4 linked regions of the Saccharomyces cerevisiae S288C genome follow. The gene in region 4 interacts genetically with the main gene of each other region. Each region holds a gene or a part of one and is shown on either strand. Other genes may lie near its edges. The genes, in order: ACB1, LPX1, TPN1 and SNO1.

Region 1 (2,917 bases), on a different chromosome or scaffold from region 4:
TCTCTACCATATGTAGCATTTTCTCAGAAGGCAAACTTTTCTTTTTCTTTCTACTTTTCCAACAAGAAATTTTAAGTTTTCCCAGAAACCCGAATTCTCCTATTTCATCCACCACGTAAGAACGGTTTTCTTCCTGGCGTAATTAAAAGCATAAAGAAAAACTGAACAAGCTCTAGATGTAGATCAGGGTATACATGGTGCGCTTCAGTAAGTGTACTGTACCACTAGTTTGGCGTCTGTCACTTGAATTGCGGATTTGTGTAGAGCAATGAAAGCGCTGCTTCTGCCGCCATCAAAAAAAACTGAGTAGTTATTAAAGCCTATGTATGACAATATAAAAATGTATACAGATCAGTCTGTATATAAATCATGAAAATATCTTTAAAAATTTCAAGAGCGTGTTTCCGCTAAACCTTGTCATATTCAACACAAATCAGTATCATTCTCGGCGTAAATTACATGCGAATCTCCCTAATTGTGATTCAATATTCCAGCGAACCCCGAGAATTTAAATAGAACAGAGTATATGCATTTATTAACAGTTATTACGCCTTGTCCCCAGGGAGAGTAGTAAGGGATATGGGCATTTATAAATGTACATAAGTCACGTTTTTGCAGCCAATAAAATATAATAATAGAATAGTAACAAGGAAAGCTAGGCCAAAACTCCTTACATGGAGCTAGTATACCCCTTTTCTAAGAGGAGTACTTGGCAATCAGTTGATCAACAAGGGCAATGTATTCCTTTTCGGCATCTTCCTGGGATTTACCTTTTAAGTTTTCCCAGGCTTCCCACTTGTAGCGGTCCTTCATGTTGAAAATACCAGGCTTTTCCTTGTCGTTGTCACCTACAGTGGCTTGCTTGTACAGAGCATACAATTCTAATAATTCATCAGTGGAGGGCTTCGTTGGTAGCTCGTTGACGGCTTTAGCTTTTTCTTCGAATAATTGGGAAACCATTTTGCTGAAAACACTAGTTTAACTAATTTTAGAGTTTTAGTCTTCCTTCTTTTGCTTCACACAGTGAAATGATGTACATAACGTACTTGCTTCCGAGACAGACCAATTGATCCAAGCTAGCTATATATATGGCGGTCATTGGGGAGTTGGCCTGGAGCTGTTGAGTTTGCGGACGTGTCAGAGAGCGCGTAGGGCCGCCAGCGCCACCTGTCTTCAGGCACCAAGGCCGTAATCTCTTCCGACGGTCATTTTTTAATGGAATGTTTCAATACGAGAGTTTGTGGCATGTAGTTTAGGAACGGATTATAGAGAATAGTCGAAATATGTTTAGTCCCTACACAAATTGCTAGACTACCTGTTTCGAGTTTCCTCTATTCCTTTGCTAACGGAGCTGCGGTATATAAACCATCGTAGACTCAAAGCCGTTACCCGACAACTATCGGGTATAGTGAAATGCCTATGTTTTCACTTTAAGACCTTAGAAAACTATCATGAGATCTCGCCTTCAGATGCAGATATTTCAGTGGATTCACGAAACAAGAAAAATTCACTGATCGATAACATCTTCCTTTGCTTGATATTCCCTTTTTGAATTTCCCTAACTACCTTTTGTTGTTTACCACATATTCTCTAAAAAGCAGAGTTATTCTTATTTTGTATTTCATTGCATTTTTATCCATTTAGTTAATGACCGAATTAGATTATCAAGGAACTGCTGAGGCGGCTTCTACCTCGTATAGTCGAAATCAAACGGACCTTAAGCCGTTTCCTTCTGCAGGCAGTGCATCTTCATCAATTAAAACGACGGAACCTGTGAAAGATCATAGAAGAAGGCGTTCTTCCAGCATAATTTCACATGTGGAACCGGAGACTTTTGAAGATGAAAATGACCAGCAACTTCTACCAAATATGAATGCTACTTGGGTAGACCAACGCGGCGCTTGGATTATTCATGTGGTCATTATCATACTGCTGAAACTATTTTATAATTTATTTCCTGGTGTTACCACAGAATGGTCGTGGACTCTGACTAATATGACATATGTTATTGGGTCCTATGTCATGTTCCATCTGATTAAGGGTACCCCTTTCGATTTCAATGGTGGTGCTTATGACAACTTGACGATGTGGGAACAAATTGACGACGAGACTTTATATACTCCTTCAAGAAAATTTTTGATTAGTGTCCCGATCGCCCTATTCTTAGTTAGTACTCATTATGCTCACTATGATTTGAAATTGTTTTCATGGAATTGTTTTTTGACAACCTTTGGTGCTGTTGTCCCAAAGTTACCTGTTACTCATAGATTAAGGATTTCTATCCCAGGTATCACAGGTCGCGCCCAAATTAGTTGAACATAGTTTATTTCAATCTTGTATCTAGATGTTTTTGCTATATTTATATTTTCTGGGCCAAATCACTAACGCTTTGAAATTTCAAAAGCCAACAACGGATTTCGGACTTCATTTATGTAAATGAAAAAGAATGTGAACAAAAATTGAAAAAATTCCATATTAATGCACCTTCTAAACCTATTTGTTGAAATTGTATTTAATTCATATAATCATATTCTATTCAAAAAGAATAACAGATAGTATTAGCACTATTTCACGTACTGCTTCTAATACTATTATCACAAAATAGACATCGGAAAACTCAAAAATAACGACAACTGCAGGACTCGAACCTGCGCGGGCAAAGCCCAAAAGATTTCTAATCTTTCGCCTTAACCACTCGGCCAAGTTGCCAATGTATACATTGCTGTTTCCTGGTTTGAAGAAGCTAATCGTGCACGTAAACAACAATCTATACTACAAGTAAAAAAATGGGGAAAAAGATGCTGAAGGTGAGATATATGTGGGTAATTAGATAATTGTTGGGATTCCATTGTTGATAAAGGCTATAATATTAGGTATACAGAATATACTAGAAGTTCTCCTCGAGGATTTAGGAATC
Region 2 (3,622 bases), on a different chromosome or scaffold from region 4:
CAGCCAATTTCGGGCGCTGTGGCAGTAAACAGAGCAACTATATAGGCATTTTCGTGAGGTGGTGCCAAGATGTTTTCAAAACTTGAGTCCTTCAGAGGTATAATTTTCTTGGGAGATTTATTAGCCAGCTTTAGTAGTCTGTTGCTGGACATTGCCAGGGCAGGATGGGTTGACACGCCGCAGAAGAAAACCAGCGAGACCAAAAACAGCCAATTCATGTTTGGGAGGAAGAGTTTGATGCGGACGCGTGTGGTTCAGTGTTCGAAGAGCGTGTGCCTGGTATTGTGTTGCTCCTACGTTAAAGTTCCTTAATGTTTTTCTTCTAAGTCAATTGAAGTACTTGTTACCTGTCTGGCGGAAAGACGGGTACACATTCGTCCTCGACGATATAGTTGCATCGCGCTTGCACGGAAAACAAAAGAAAAAGAAACCACGCCAGTGCCATAGATTGCGTCAGTTAATTATTATTGAATAATATATGTAATAGTGTACACAAGTGTTTACAGTTTTTGTTTAGTCGTTTTAACCAAAGCTTCATTCTTGAACGAGTCGAAAGCCCGGTCAAACATCACCGCTCTTTCTTCAAGGGTCAATTGCGGAATGTGTGAGGACTGCAGCGGGGAGGTAAGGACAAACTCGTGGATGTGGTGATTAATCCTCTCGATCACCAGGTCCGGAGCCTCAACGTTGACCAAGTGGGAGCCGCCGGGAATGACATCGAGATGGTAGTTCTGTAGAGTTTTCTGCAAAAACAGCTGATTTTGCGGAGGACACCAGTTGGAGCGCGCGCCCACAATGTGGATAGTCCGCTTCCTCACAAACTTCACATTGCTGATCAGGAAAGGCGCAAAAGTCTGCATGTTCATGTAGCAGAGGAGATTTTGAGCCTGCTCCATCTTCGTGCGAACGGGTCCACCATCTTCATCGTCTCCAGAGGCTTTTGTCCTCTCAAAATCGATGATGTTTTGCAGGATTTGGCTGTGCGCATTGGTAAAAAAGGAACCGTTCCTCATATATTTTACATATTCGGACTCGTTAGCGAAATGGTCGCACGTCTTTAAACGTAGGGAGTTATAAAGATTTTCTGGGATCTGCGGAGAATCGGGCGGAAGCCCTGGCCTCCCGGCGCCGATGGCTTTCCGTGTGATTACTACAGGCTCGATCAAGATGAGCAAATGAAACAGATTGGGCTGCAGGACGTCACACGCAAGAGCCTGGAACCCGCCCATCGAGTGGCCGATGACTACGTTTAGTGCCGGGTGGCTGTCAATACTGCCCAACTCGCATGTGGCAATCTTGAGCACGTCGCGGGCCCCGTCGATCCAGTTGAAATTGGTGCCGAGTCTGCCGCGGTTGCGTACCGCAGAATCACCGTGGTTAACCTGGTCGATCAACAAAACCTTGTCGATGGCATAATTGCCCTCCGCATCGGCGGCTACCAGACGCGGCAAATAGTACTCCCATACCACCTTACTCATGCCGCTGCCGTGCAAAAACACAAGGTTAAGCCTAGTGGCAGTGCGAGAGCGGCGTTGCCGCTCTGCGCTAGTGTACACATCGTATGTGAGCTCGAGGCGATCTGTCGCACACAGCGTCGACTGCGGTGCGCGCGGCCAGCTAGCGCTACAAGTTTTCGTTTCTTTCTTGAACCTGTTCTGTTCCATTTTAGCCGCGGATGTTGATCGGCGGATACGCAGAGATAAGCAGAGTACGCACTAGTGAGCTTTTTTAGCACGCACATTACGCACTTTATATATATGCTAAAGGGTGCAGCAGCGGGCGCGGCTGCACTAACTCCGAGATTGCGGAGAAAAAACTCGTACTACCACATTAAGACGTCTCCACTTCGGTATCCGACTCGGGCTCCGTTTCGTCCGTGGGTTCTCCAGCAGATGTCGCCGGCACGGGTCGGTGTTGTTGCTTCTTGGTAGGCGACGACAATAGCATCAGTGTTTCGACAGCCGTGGCCTCCTCCCGTGGTGGGTGGCCTCCGAGCGCCTGAAGAAACGCTGTATGCGCGGAAGTACCCGCGTCTGCACTATCTGGAAATCTGTTGTGATAGCGACGTGGCGGCGTCTGCACTGCTGGAGCAAGCTCCGTCTCCAGCTCGGGAAGTGTCTTGTCCGTCCATCCATTTTGCAGCTTGACTAACGCGTAATTGAGCCTGGTGCGCAAAGTATGTGATATTTCGCGGATGGGCCGCTCGCCCGTAGACCGACGCGCAGCCGTCGGAGGTGACCTCAAACGCGGCGACGGCGACAGAAACACCTCCGACCGTCTTGACTTGGGCGTTGTCGGTGGCAACAAAGGCATACTAACGTGTCCGTCGTACTTCTTTTGATTTTCATTTTCTTCTTCATTTTCGTCGTCCTCACTCTCACTTTCGTGTCCGTCGTCGTTATGGTCATATACACGTCCATGTGCGGTTATGCCGACACGACGCTTATTGACGGGCGACATGAATATACCCTGAAGACTCGTTGTCGACGGCCTTCTTCTCGATTTAGTGATGCTTTTCGTTATGCCTGGTGGTGACGGCGGCGATGGTGTTCCAAAGCCATTTTTGAGACGTACTGGCGTGCTCAATAGAGTGGTTGGCCCAGGTCGCTGCTGATGCTCGTTGTTTACATGTGTATCTGGGTTCTGTACCTGCTCTTGTTCTTGTTCTTGTTCTTGTTCATCGCTAGTCCTGCTTCTCTTCGGCGTTCTCAAACTCATATTCTTCAATGTCTCTACTATTTTTCGTTGCTATTAATATCTGGTTGTGCTTTCTTCCATCAGGTTCTTTGCCTTGTTTTGCCTTTGTTTTGTTTTGTTTTGTTTTGTTTTTTTTATTTTTTTCGTTCTGCTCTTGAAGTTTTCGCTTCCCTTTTCCCCCTTCCCTTTAGCACCAGAAGTCATGAAACAATTAGTAAATCAAGAATTATCATTAAGGCAGCGCGAGGAATTATATAAAACAAAAAAAAATAAAAAAATAAAAAAAAAAAAAAATAAAATTCGAAAACAATAGGAGACAAAAGACATCATAAACAGCACAAGGAAGACGGTTCTGTTTCGTTGCTATGTCTAATACCTTGCCAGTAACAGAATTTCTTTTATCCAAATACTACGAACTTTCCAACACTCCTGCCACAGACTCATCATCGCTCTTCAAATGGTTATACCACAAGACTCTCTCCCGTAAACAGCTGCTCATATCCGATTTGTCTTCCCAGAAAAAACACGCCATCTCCTACGATCAATGGAATGACATAGCGTCGCGATTAGACGACTTAACGGGACTTTCCGAATGGAAAACAATCGACGAGTCCTCGTTGTATAACTATAAGCTGCTGCAAGACTTGACCATCCGTATGCGCCATTTGAGAACCACTCACGACTACCACCGCCTGCTTTATCTGATTAGAACTAAGTGGGTCCGTAATCTTGGCAACATGAATAACGTTAATCTTTACAGGCACTCGCATACCGGCACAAAACAAATTATACATGACTACCTAGAAGAGTCTCAAGCAGTGCTCACCGCGCTGATCCATCAGTCAAATATGAACGATCACTATCTCCTCGGTATTTTGCAACAGACGAGAAGAAACATAGGGCGCACGGCTCTCGTGCTTAGCGG
Region 3 (4,444 bases), on a different chromosome or scaffold from region 4:
ATCTTATTTCCTGTTTATGCTAATTTTTACGCAATTAGCGTGCCTAAGTACAAAAAAATGTTTTGTAAAAAGTATGAAAAAAATTCTAATCTTCGTATATCTTTCTTTCCTGTGTTTATACTTGGAAGAAGCGAAGTATTTTATCCTTGAGTGTGTCTTATTTTCTCTTCCCTTTATTTGCTACTAACCAAGATGGGAGATATCGCTTTTTCGAAGGACGCCTTTGGAATCCGCTGATCTTATTGGTGGACAGTCAGCTGACAGAAAACTTAGATCGTGACAGCAAATTAAACGATTTGTGCTACTGTTCAAAGTGTCAGTATATCACTCGATGATTTCAATTGTCCACCAGGCTTAGATTTTCATGTGAAAAGATAATGTGTACAAAAAAATATCCTCCCTGAGCGTAATTTAACATACCATGAATCTACCTGCCAATATTATCTAAACTAAAGTTTGCCGCTGCACCGTAGTTTTAATATATACTTATGTCATTTCAATTAACGACCAAATTTACGTAGCTCTAAGTATCTACAAGGAGGGTATACAACACCTGAGAACGCCATACTTAACCACATTGCGACATCACCACCATATTCACCAAATTTGGCAGCAATTGGGCCAATCCAATAGGCTTGCGCCATACCAACTACCACACCAGCAACTCCTACAATAAACGCAAATGTTGCTGCATAACCGTGCGTTAAAACCTCATAATCTTCCCATTTGTCCCAATTGTAACGATGTTTAGTCACCTTATGTTTTCTTTTTAACAAATGGATATTAGTAACTGCATCTTTCTCCACTTCTTTTGAAGATCCAACAAGTTCCGGTCCATTTATTTCTCCTGTAACTGTAGGAAACTCTTTGGTGTACAAATGTAAGAAAAACCTTCTGAATACTAAATTCTCTTCGAATAATAAGATAAAGTACATGCTAATCCAGTAGCCTATCATTGGTAGGAAATTTCCCAAAATAGTACTAAAATGATTACGACCTATTAATGCGCATACCAAACAAATTATAGTACAAACAATAGACCAGAACCAGCGAGGGATTTTTGCACAAAACACACTAGAAAGTTGGATGGAGAATGCTGCCGAATACGTATTGATGATGTTGTTGGATACCAAACTGAATACCAGTACTACCACGCAGAACTTTCCGAAGCCGTTCCAACGCTGAAAACCTGCCCAAAGTAGACCACCCATTCCATGGGAATCGTACTCGACTGACCAAGGCTTATACGACATGGCAACAGAAGCTAGTAAGAGACCTAAGATTCCGACGAAACAGGTAGGCAAAAATGTTCCAAAAAACGTTAGGCAAAAAATTTGAATATATGGTGTATCTTCTGGGAACAATATATAATAGTCTGCTGTAATAGACCCCCAAGTAGCCGTAATACTATAGCATAATGAAAAAAAACTCATCCAGTTGCCCTTTCGGGTGGAAGAGTCCAAATTTCCCTTTGAAACGTATGCATTGACGAAGCTGTATTTATCACTTGATGAAATGTACAGTAGTAAAAATGCTGTCAGGACGGGTACGGATAAGTAAGTTTCCACTTTAATGACTTGTTTGATACCGAAAATGGCAACTAAAAAGGAGCATACGGTCACTATGACAATCCCTACCCATAGGGGTACTTTATCATTAGAAATAGCAGCTAACATTTCACCCCCAACCACGGAATTAACCACAGACCAACCCATGACACCGATAATGGAAGCTAATGCAACTAATTTAACAAACCACCATCCGAACAGGTATCTAGCTGTTACCATCTGTCTGCAACCGGACTGCGGTCCCATGATCGAGCAATAGGCAGCAATTAAGCAACCAATTGTTACCGATATTAAACTGGAGGCTACGGATTCTCTAAAGCTTAAACCGAAAAGCAGAGGGCCTAATAAAAACGACGACATGGAAGACAAACCACCTGTGGCACTCAACCATAGCCCCGCGACATGCAAAAATTGTTTCTTTGATGTTCCTCGTTCATAGGGAGATATCCTCTGAATACCGGTAGACTCTACTCCCATTGCGTCCACTTTCTTAGAAAGCCATGCCGCCCTGTTGATAATTCTTCTCAAAATGGACGGACTTGAGTTGGCCTTTTCTGTGGCTATGTTTAAAGAAGAAGCTGCGGTTCCTTCTTCGTAAAATTCTATTACATCAGTAGTATGCTTTGTATGATCTTCTTTGCGCTTTGTTGTGTCCATGTTGTCCCTATTCATCTATGATCGAAGTTTTTCAAGTCCTGTTCTTTGATAAATACTCTATAAAGCTAATAATATTCAACAGTAATATTTTTATACTGAGAACCTCAACATCTGTTCTCTTTTTTAATGGCCTTCTCTTAGACACCATCAAAGCAGCCTGACGCAGAAAATTTCAGGTGAGATAAGGTGCGGCGAACAAATCCGAAATTTACTTACACGCAAGTACGAGTCATACACCTACGGGGCACTGTACTACAATCCATTGTCGAAACAAAAACGGCACTTAATGTTGACTTCTTTTTGAAGTCAAATGCATACGAAAACTCGCACTGCTCTTTTTTCTTGGTGTGTTGACGTATATGTATATATAGGTATGTTAACATAAGGTTCTTACGTCTCTTACTATCAAACTACACGGGAGAAATGCTCATCGCTTGCGGCTTCCCCAGACACTACCCGTAAGATTCTTGTCAATGCCAGTTCACAACTTTGCTCAAAAACATCCTTTGTCGCACTACCCAAATGCGGAGTAATTGAAGTAAGTCTATCAGAAGATCTGATTTTTTCATCTATTTCTGGTTCTTTATTAAAGACGTCTAAACCGAGATGGTTGATTCGTCCCGTTACCAAGGCGTCAGAAACAGCCCGCAAGTCCAAAATTTTACCTCTTCCCAAGTTGACTAAAATTAGGCCTGGATTGCAGTGTTCCAAAAATTTCCTGTTGATTAAATGTTCTGTTTGTGGAGTTCCCGGCAATGTGACCACGATTGCATGAAACTGGTATAGTTTTGCATATATTGTTTCATCTAGCAAATGAAATTTCCAGCTTTCGTTTTGACTCATTGTGCAATCTTCGCTTCTTTTGCAATAATGTATTTCCATTCCTAGCCCGTATTGCAACTTGTAGGCTACTTGCTTTCCAATACTTCCTAAACCAAGAATTAAGCATTTCTTTCCTCTTGGTGATTCAGCAAACATATTCCCCAGTTCATGGCCAAAAGCAAATCCGCTCTTTTCTGCAGCTTTCGCCCTTGCAGTTAATGTATTTCCAGTTTCTCTACTAAGTTTTTGGTAATAGGAGAACTTTCTAAAGCCCTCCAGAATGTGCCACAAGGCACAATCTGCCACATCATTACCGACTTGATGAAGCTTTAAATCGTCTATCAATTTTTCATTTTCATCGTCTTGGTAGTTGTATAATCGAATTTCATGCTTGCGTAATGTATCCAGATCCCATCCGTCGTAACCTCTTGAGCAAAGCACGATACATTTTAAATTTTTCCTTGGAAATGACTTGTGTTCGATGATACTTCGAGTCATCCCACCGATTTTTTTGAATGCCGGAAACCCAGCATAAATGGCACATATTTTGTCTTGTTCATGCCTTTCTAAAAAGTTAAGAAATGCTTCTTTGGTGTCCAGCTGATAGCGCAAGATCCTGAACTTCTCTTTGAATGCCTTGGAATTAAGTGTGGCTGATGTTTCGCACGGATCTGCGATGAAAAGAATAGTAGGCTTTCCAGTCGTTGCAGGAGAATCGCACATTTTTTGTATGCTCTTTTCCTTCTAAATCTGCTGTCAACCCATTGTCGAGTGAAGTTATAAAAGCACAGCTATTTCTATATTCCTTTTACGACCGCCATTACACACGTTCATTGAGGCAAACTTTCCTCCTTCGCGCGTGCGTTTCCCAAGGGTAGTAGTAAGAGCTTACGGAACAGCCCGAAAGGCTGTAAAAGTTTAATATACTTACTGTTCTTGAAATTCTGTCTATATACTTGACTATTTAAAGTTACTATCTTTGGATTTGAACCTTATAAAAAAAAAAAAAAAAGGTACATGCATATTTTCCCTTACAATTTCGAACTCTTAATATTCAATTCTGAGTCCTTTCTGATGAGATCTTGATTGTAAAATTCTTCGTAAATACTTAAAGGCTTATGCAGGTCATCGATGGTAGTGTTCACAGCTAGGTTCTTATTCAATTTGTTGAAAAGATATTTGCCATTTTCTCTTACTTCTATAATATCAGCGTCAACCATCGCCGCTAATAAATCTTTCTTCAAATCTACTATATTTTCGATACCGCAGCAAAGACGAACCAAATCTTCAGGAAAATCTCTCTCTTTCCTTAATTCGGGATCAATGGAAGCATGGGACATTTTGCAAGGCATAGATAGAAGCGAATTTACACACCCGAAAGATACCGTCACAGCCCA
Region 4 (3,319 bases):
GTTGCTAATAAATTTTCATGGGTTCAGAGACAATCCTGGTAAAACGATTAGTTACATAGTGAAACGTAGGATAAATGAAATACGCCTATCACGCATGAATCAAATTTCCAGAACCGGACTAGCTGACTTTACAAGATGGGACAACTTGCAAAAGCTTGTATTAAGTAGAGTAGCTTACATCGACCTGAATAGCATTGTCTTTCCCAAAAATTTTAAATCTCTGACAATGAAACGTGTAAGTAAAATCAAGTGGTGGAACATCGAGGAAAATATACTAAAGGAACTAAAAGTCGATAAGAGAACTTTTAAATCGTTGTACATAAAGGAAGATGATAGTAAATTCACAAAATTTTTTAATTTACGACACACAAGAATAAAAGAGCTTGACAAAAGTGAAATTAATCAAATAACATACCTTCGATGTCAAGCAATAGTTTGGCTATCTTTTCGGACTTTGAACCATATCAAGCTACAAAATGTATCTGAAGTTTTTAACAATATCATCGTACCTAGAGCATTGTTCGATAGTAAACGAGTAGAGATTTATCGATGTGAAAAAATCTCTCAGGTTTTGGTAATATAAAAATGTGGAAAACCGGCGGTATTTTAATTAGAAACAAACTGTCTGATAAACCAATCATGAAATCTTGTATCACTGTCAGCAAGCTCTGGATGAAAAGAAGTCACAAGGATATTATGATTTTGCGTTGCAGCTACAACCACATCCTTTCCATTCACTGGCAATTCATATAAACTTTTAACCGCGATAGGATCAAGAATTCTCTCGATCACGGGTGCGCGAATAAATGTAGCAGGAAAATTATCACAGCCAGGTATGAAATTGGAAAAATCACACTTTTGTGTAAAAGATTGAGCTTGTCTTCCAAATGCGTTTCTTCTCACGTCGACCTTCAACACACCTAAAGTCTTTACTAGGGCACTTTCGTTTTCTAATTGCGCGCTTAAAAAGATGAGACCAGCACAAGTACCCCAAACTACCTTTTCCGGATTATGAACAAATTCGTATAAACAAGGATATAAGCCTGTTCTTTGAGCGATGAGGGACATCGACGTAGATTCTCCTCCGGGAATAATTAAGGCGTCGCACTGGGCTAGATCCTCAGGAGTTTTTACAGTTTTGATTTCTATCTTTATTCCGTAGTCGTTTTCAGCCAAACACCTTTTTAAATGGTTGGTATGCTCCAAAAAGGCACCTTGCAACGCCAAAACCCCAATTACTTTCATCGACTTTCCGGACATTGTACTGTGGGTTTTGTGCATACTTTAAGATATGGTTTTTCTTTCTATTTAACGAAATGAAATAATAAGAAAAAAAAACCTGGTGGCATCAACGTGATTTTTGGAAGAAAGAATAAAACATTCAAAGAGTTCGTGACCAGTTATTGCTGATAAATGCCGTTTACTGACTCAGTTGGAATTTATGGCACTAGTTGGAATAGCTCATCATGACATAATGACTCAGCCGACAAGGGTAAGGGTTGAAAGCCGGGCTTTTTCACTACTTTTCAGGTAGCGCCGCCATTTCTTCATGACTCTGACACACTCTGCCGCACCGTTAGTTACGTCTGTAATTCTGGCTGCGAAGTACCATTTTCGATATAAATAGGAGGACGCTGAGAGCTATGGACGAAGTCTATGGTATTGTTGGAGAAACCTTTAGGAACGACTAGCAAATATACACAGTACTAATATTCAGTTAATTATCACGATGACTGGAGAAGACTTTAAGATCAAGAGTGGTCTCGCCCAAATGTTAAAAGGTGGCGTTATTATGGATGTTGTTACTCCAGAGCAGGCAAAAATAGCTGAAAAATCTGGTGCATGTGCGGTAATGGCATTAGAATCCATCCCAGCAGATATGCGTAAGTCAGGAAAGGTTTGCCGCATGTCAGATCCGAAGATGATTAAGGACATCATGAACTCCGTTTCCATTCCCGTCATGGCTAAGGTAAGGATTGGCCATTTTGTTGAAGCTCAAATTATTGAGGCATTGGAAGTTGACTATATTGACGAAAGTGAAGTCTTGACTCCTGCTGATTGGACTCACCACATTGAAAAGGACAAATTCAAAGTTCCATTTGTTTGTGGCGCTAAAGACTTAGGTGAAGCTTTGAGAAGAATTAATGAAGGCGCCGCTATGATTCGTACCAAGGGTGAAGCTGGAACGGGCGATGTCTCTGAAGCCGTCAAGCATATAAGGAGAATTACAGAGGAGATAAAGGCGTGCCAACAATTGAAGAGCGAAGATGACATTGCAAAAGTTGCTGAGGAAATGAGGGTACCAGTTTCTTTGCTGAAAGATGTTTTAGAAAAAGGTAAGTTGCCAGTAGTAAATTTTGCTGCAGGTGGTGTAGCAACGCCAGCCGATGCCGCATTGTTAATGCAGTTGGGTTGTGATGGTGTGTTTGTTGGCTCAGGAATTTTTAAATCATCTAATCCTGTAAGGTTGGCCACTGCAGTAGTAGAGGCTACCACTCACTTTGACAATCCCAGCAAATTGTTGGAAGTATCTAGTGACTTAGGAGAGTTAATGGGTGGTGTATCAATCGAATCTATTAGTCATGCTTCCAATGGAGTAAGACTTTCCGAAATTGGGTGGTGATTTCTTTGAACAGGTATTTTGAGCATTATAACACTTTTTCCCCCCTCAACTTTGTATTACTCGGTACACATTGTAAAATGATCTAATTATTAGATAAGCTTATGTATGCTGGATATTATTTACTAGAATACTTGATTGGGGTTCCCTTTTAGTTTGTTAGACAATCCCTCATACGAAAGATCTCCTAACTTTTCCAATTGATCATTTACATAGTTTTTATAAGAAAACTCGTCATTATTCAACAGTACCTCAGGGTCAAATATGATACCCTTTCCATGCAACCTCCATTTGTTAGTCCACTCGATAGCCGTTGATTTTTCATTTTGGCTTTTATTCACTTGAAGCCTTCTTAAAACATCATATATATCATTTGTGGGAGAATTGGTGCTTCCAGGGTAAAGCTCTGTTCTTCCATCGTTCAAATTTTGCAAGTTCATTAGGTATAAAAGGTAATCCGCTTGAAATATTGGATCTACAAGGTTATTTTTAACACTACCACACAACGCCAGTCCTAGCATTCTATTATGATCTGAAACGCGACCGGGAACACCGATTCCTGGAGTATCTATCAAGTATATTTCATTTCTTGATTCCGTATTCCGTGAAGTTACTCTAATAACCTCGCTTGTGGCTCTAGTAACACCAGCTTCTGCACCAGTTTTGGCTACTTTCTTAAATTTTCTTCCCATATTCACT

Evidence for each region.
Region 1: mutations in SNO1 (region 4) and ACB1 together harm fitness more than expected from each alone (negative genetic interaction), as found in Saccharomyces cerevisiae (2 studies listed by BioGRID).
Region 2: mutations in SNO1 (region 4) and LPX1 together harm fitness more than expected from each alone (negative genetic interaction), as found in Saccharomyces cerevisiae (2 studies listed by BioGRID).
Region 3: mutations in SNO1 (region 4) and TPN1 are lethal when combined (synthetic lethality), as found in Saccharomyces cerevisiae (2 studies listed by BioGRID, with this or other methods).

Annotation. Positions count from the first base shown.
Region 1 is NC_001139.9:559,035-561,951, forward strand, and holds ACB1 (long-chain fatty acid transporter ACB1), read right to left. Parts: upstream 961-2,917; coding exon 697-960; downstream 1-696. Other genes in the region: sphingolipid homeostasis protein ORM1, read left to right, coding at 1,648-2,316. UniProt on the Saccharomyces cerevisiae protein: Binds medium- and long-chain acyl-CoA esters with very high affinity and may function as an intracellular carrier of acyl-CoA esters. Enhances the in vitro activity of the ceramide synthase complex.
Region 2 is NC_001147.6:478,629-482,250, reverse strand, and holds LPX1 (triglyceride lipase), read right to left. Parts: upstream 1,665-3,622; coding exon 501-1,664; downstream 1-500. Other genes in the region: dolichyl-diphosphooligosaccharide--protein glycotransferase OST3, read right to left, coding at 1-218; transcriptional repressor WHI5, read right to left, coding at 1,831-2,718; TGL5 (triacylglycerol lipase), read left to right, coding at 3,063-3,622. UniProt on the Saccharomyces cerevisiae protein: Has acyl esterase, lipase and phospholipase A activity.
Region 3 is NC_001139.9:150,537-154,980, forward strand, and holds TPN1 (Tpn1p), read right to left. Parts: upstream 2,241-4,444; coding exon 501-2,240; downstream 1-500. Other genes in the region: YGL185C (putative hydroxyacid dehydrogenase), read right to left, coding at 2,631-3,770; cystathionine beta-lyase STR3, read right to left, coding at 4,079-4,444. UniProt on the Saccharomyces cerevisiae protein: Thiamine-regulated, high affinity import carrier of pyridoxine, pyridoxal and pyridoxamine.
Region 4 is NC_001145.3:456,679-459,997, forward strand, and holds SNO1 (putative pyridoxal 5'-phosphate synthase), read right to left. Parts: upstream 1,282-3,319; coding exon 607-1,281; downstream 1-606. Other genes in the region: CTF13 (Ctf13p), read left to right, coding at 1-583; pyridoxine biosynthesis protein SNZ1, read left to right, coding at 1,730-2,623; putative GTPase MTG1, read right to left, coding at 2,746-3,319. UniProt on the Saccharomyces cerevisiae protein: Catalyzes the hydrolysis of glutamine to glutamate and ammonia as part of the biosynthesis of pyridoxal 5'-phosphate. The resulting ammonia molecule is channeled to the active site of a SNZ isoform.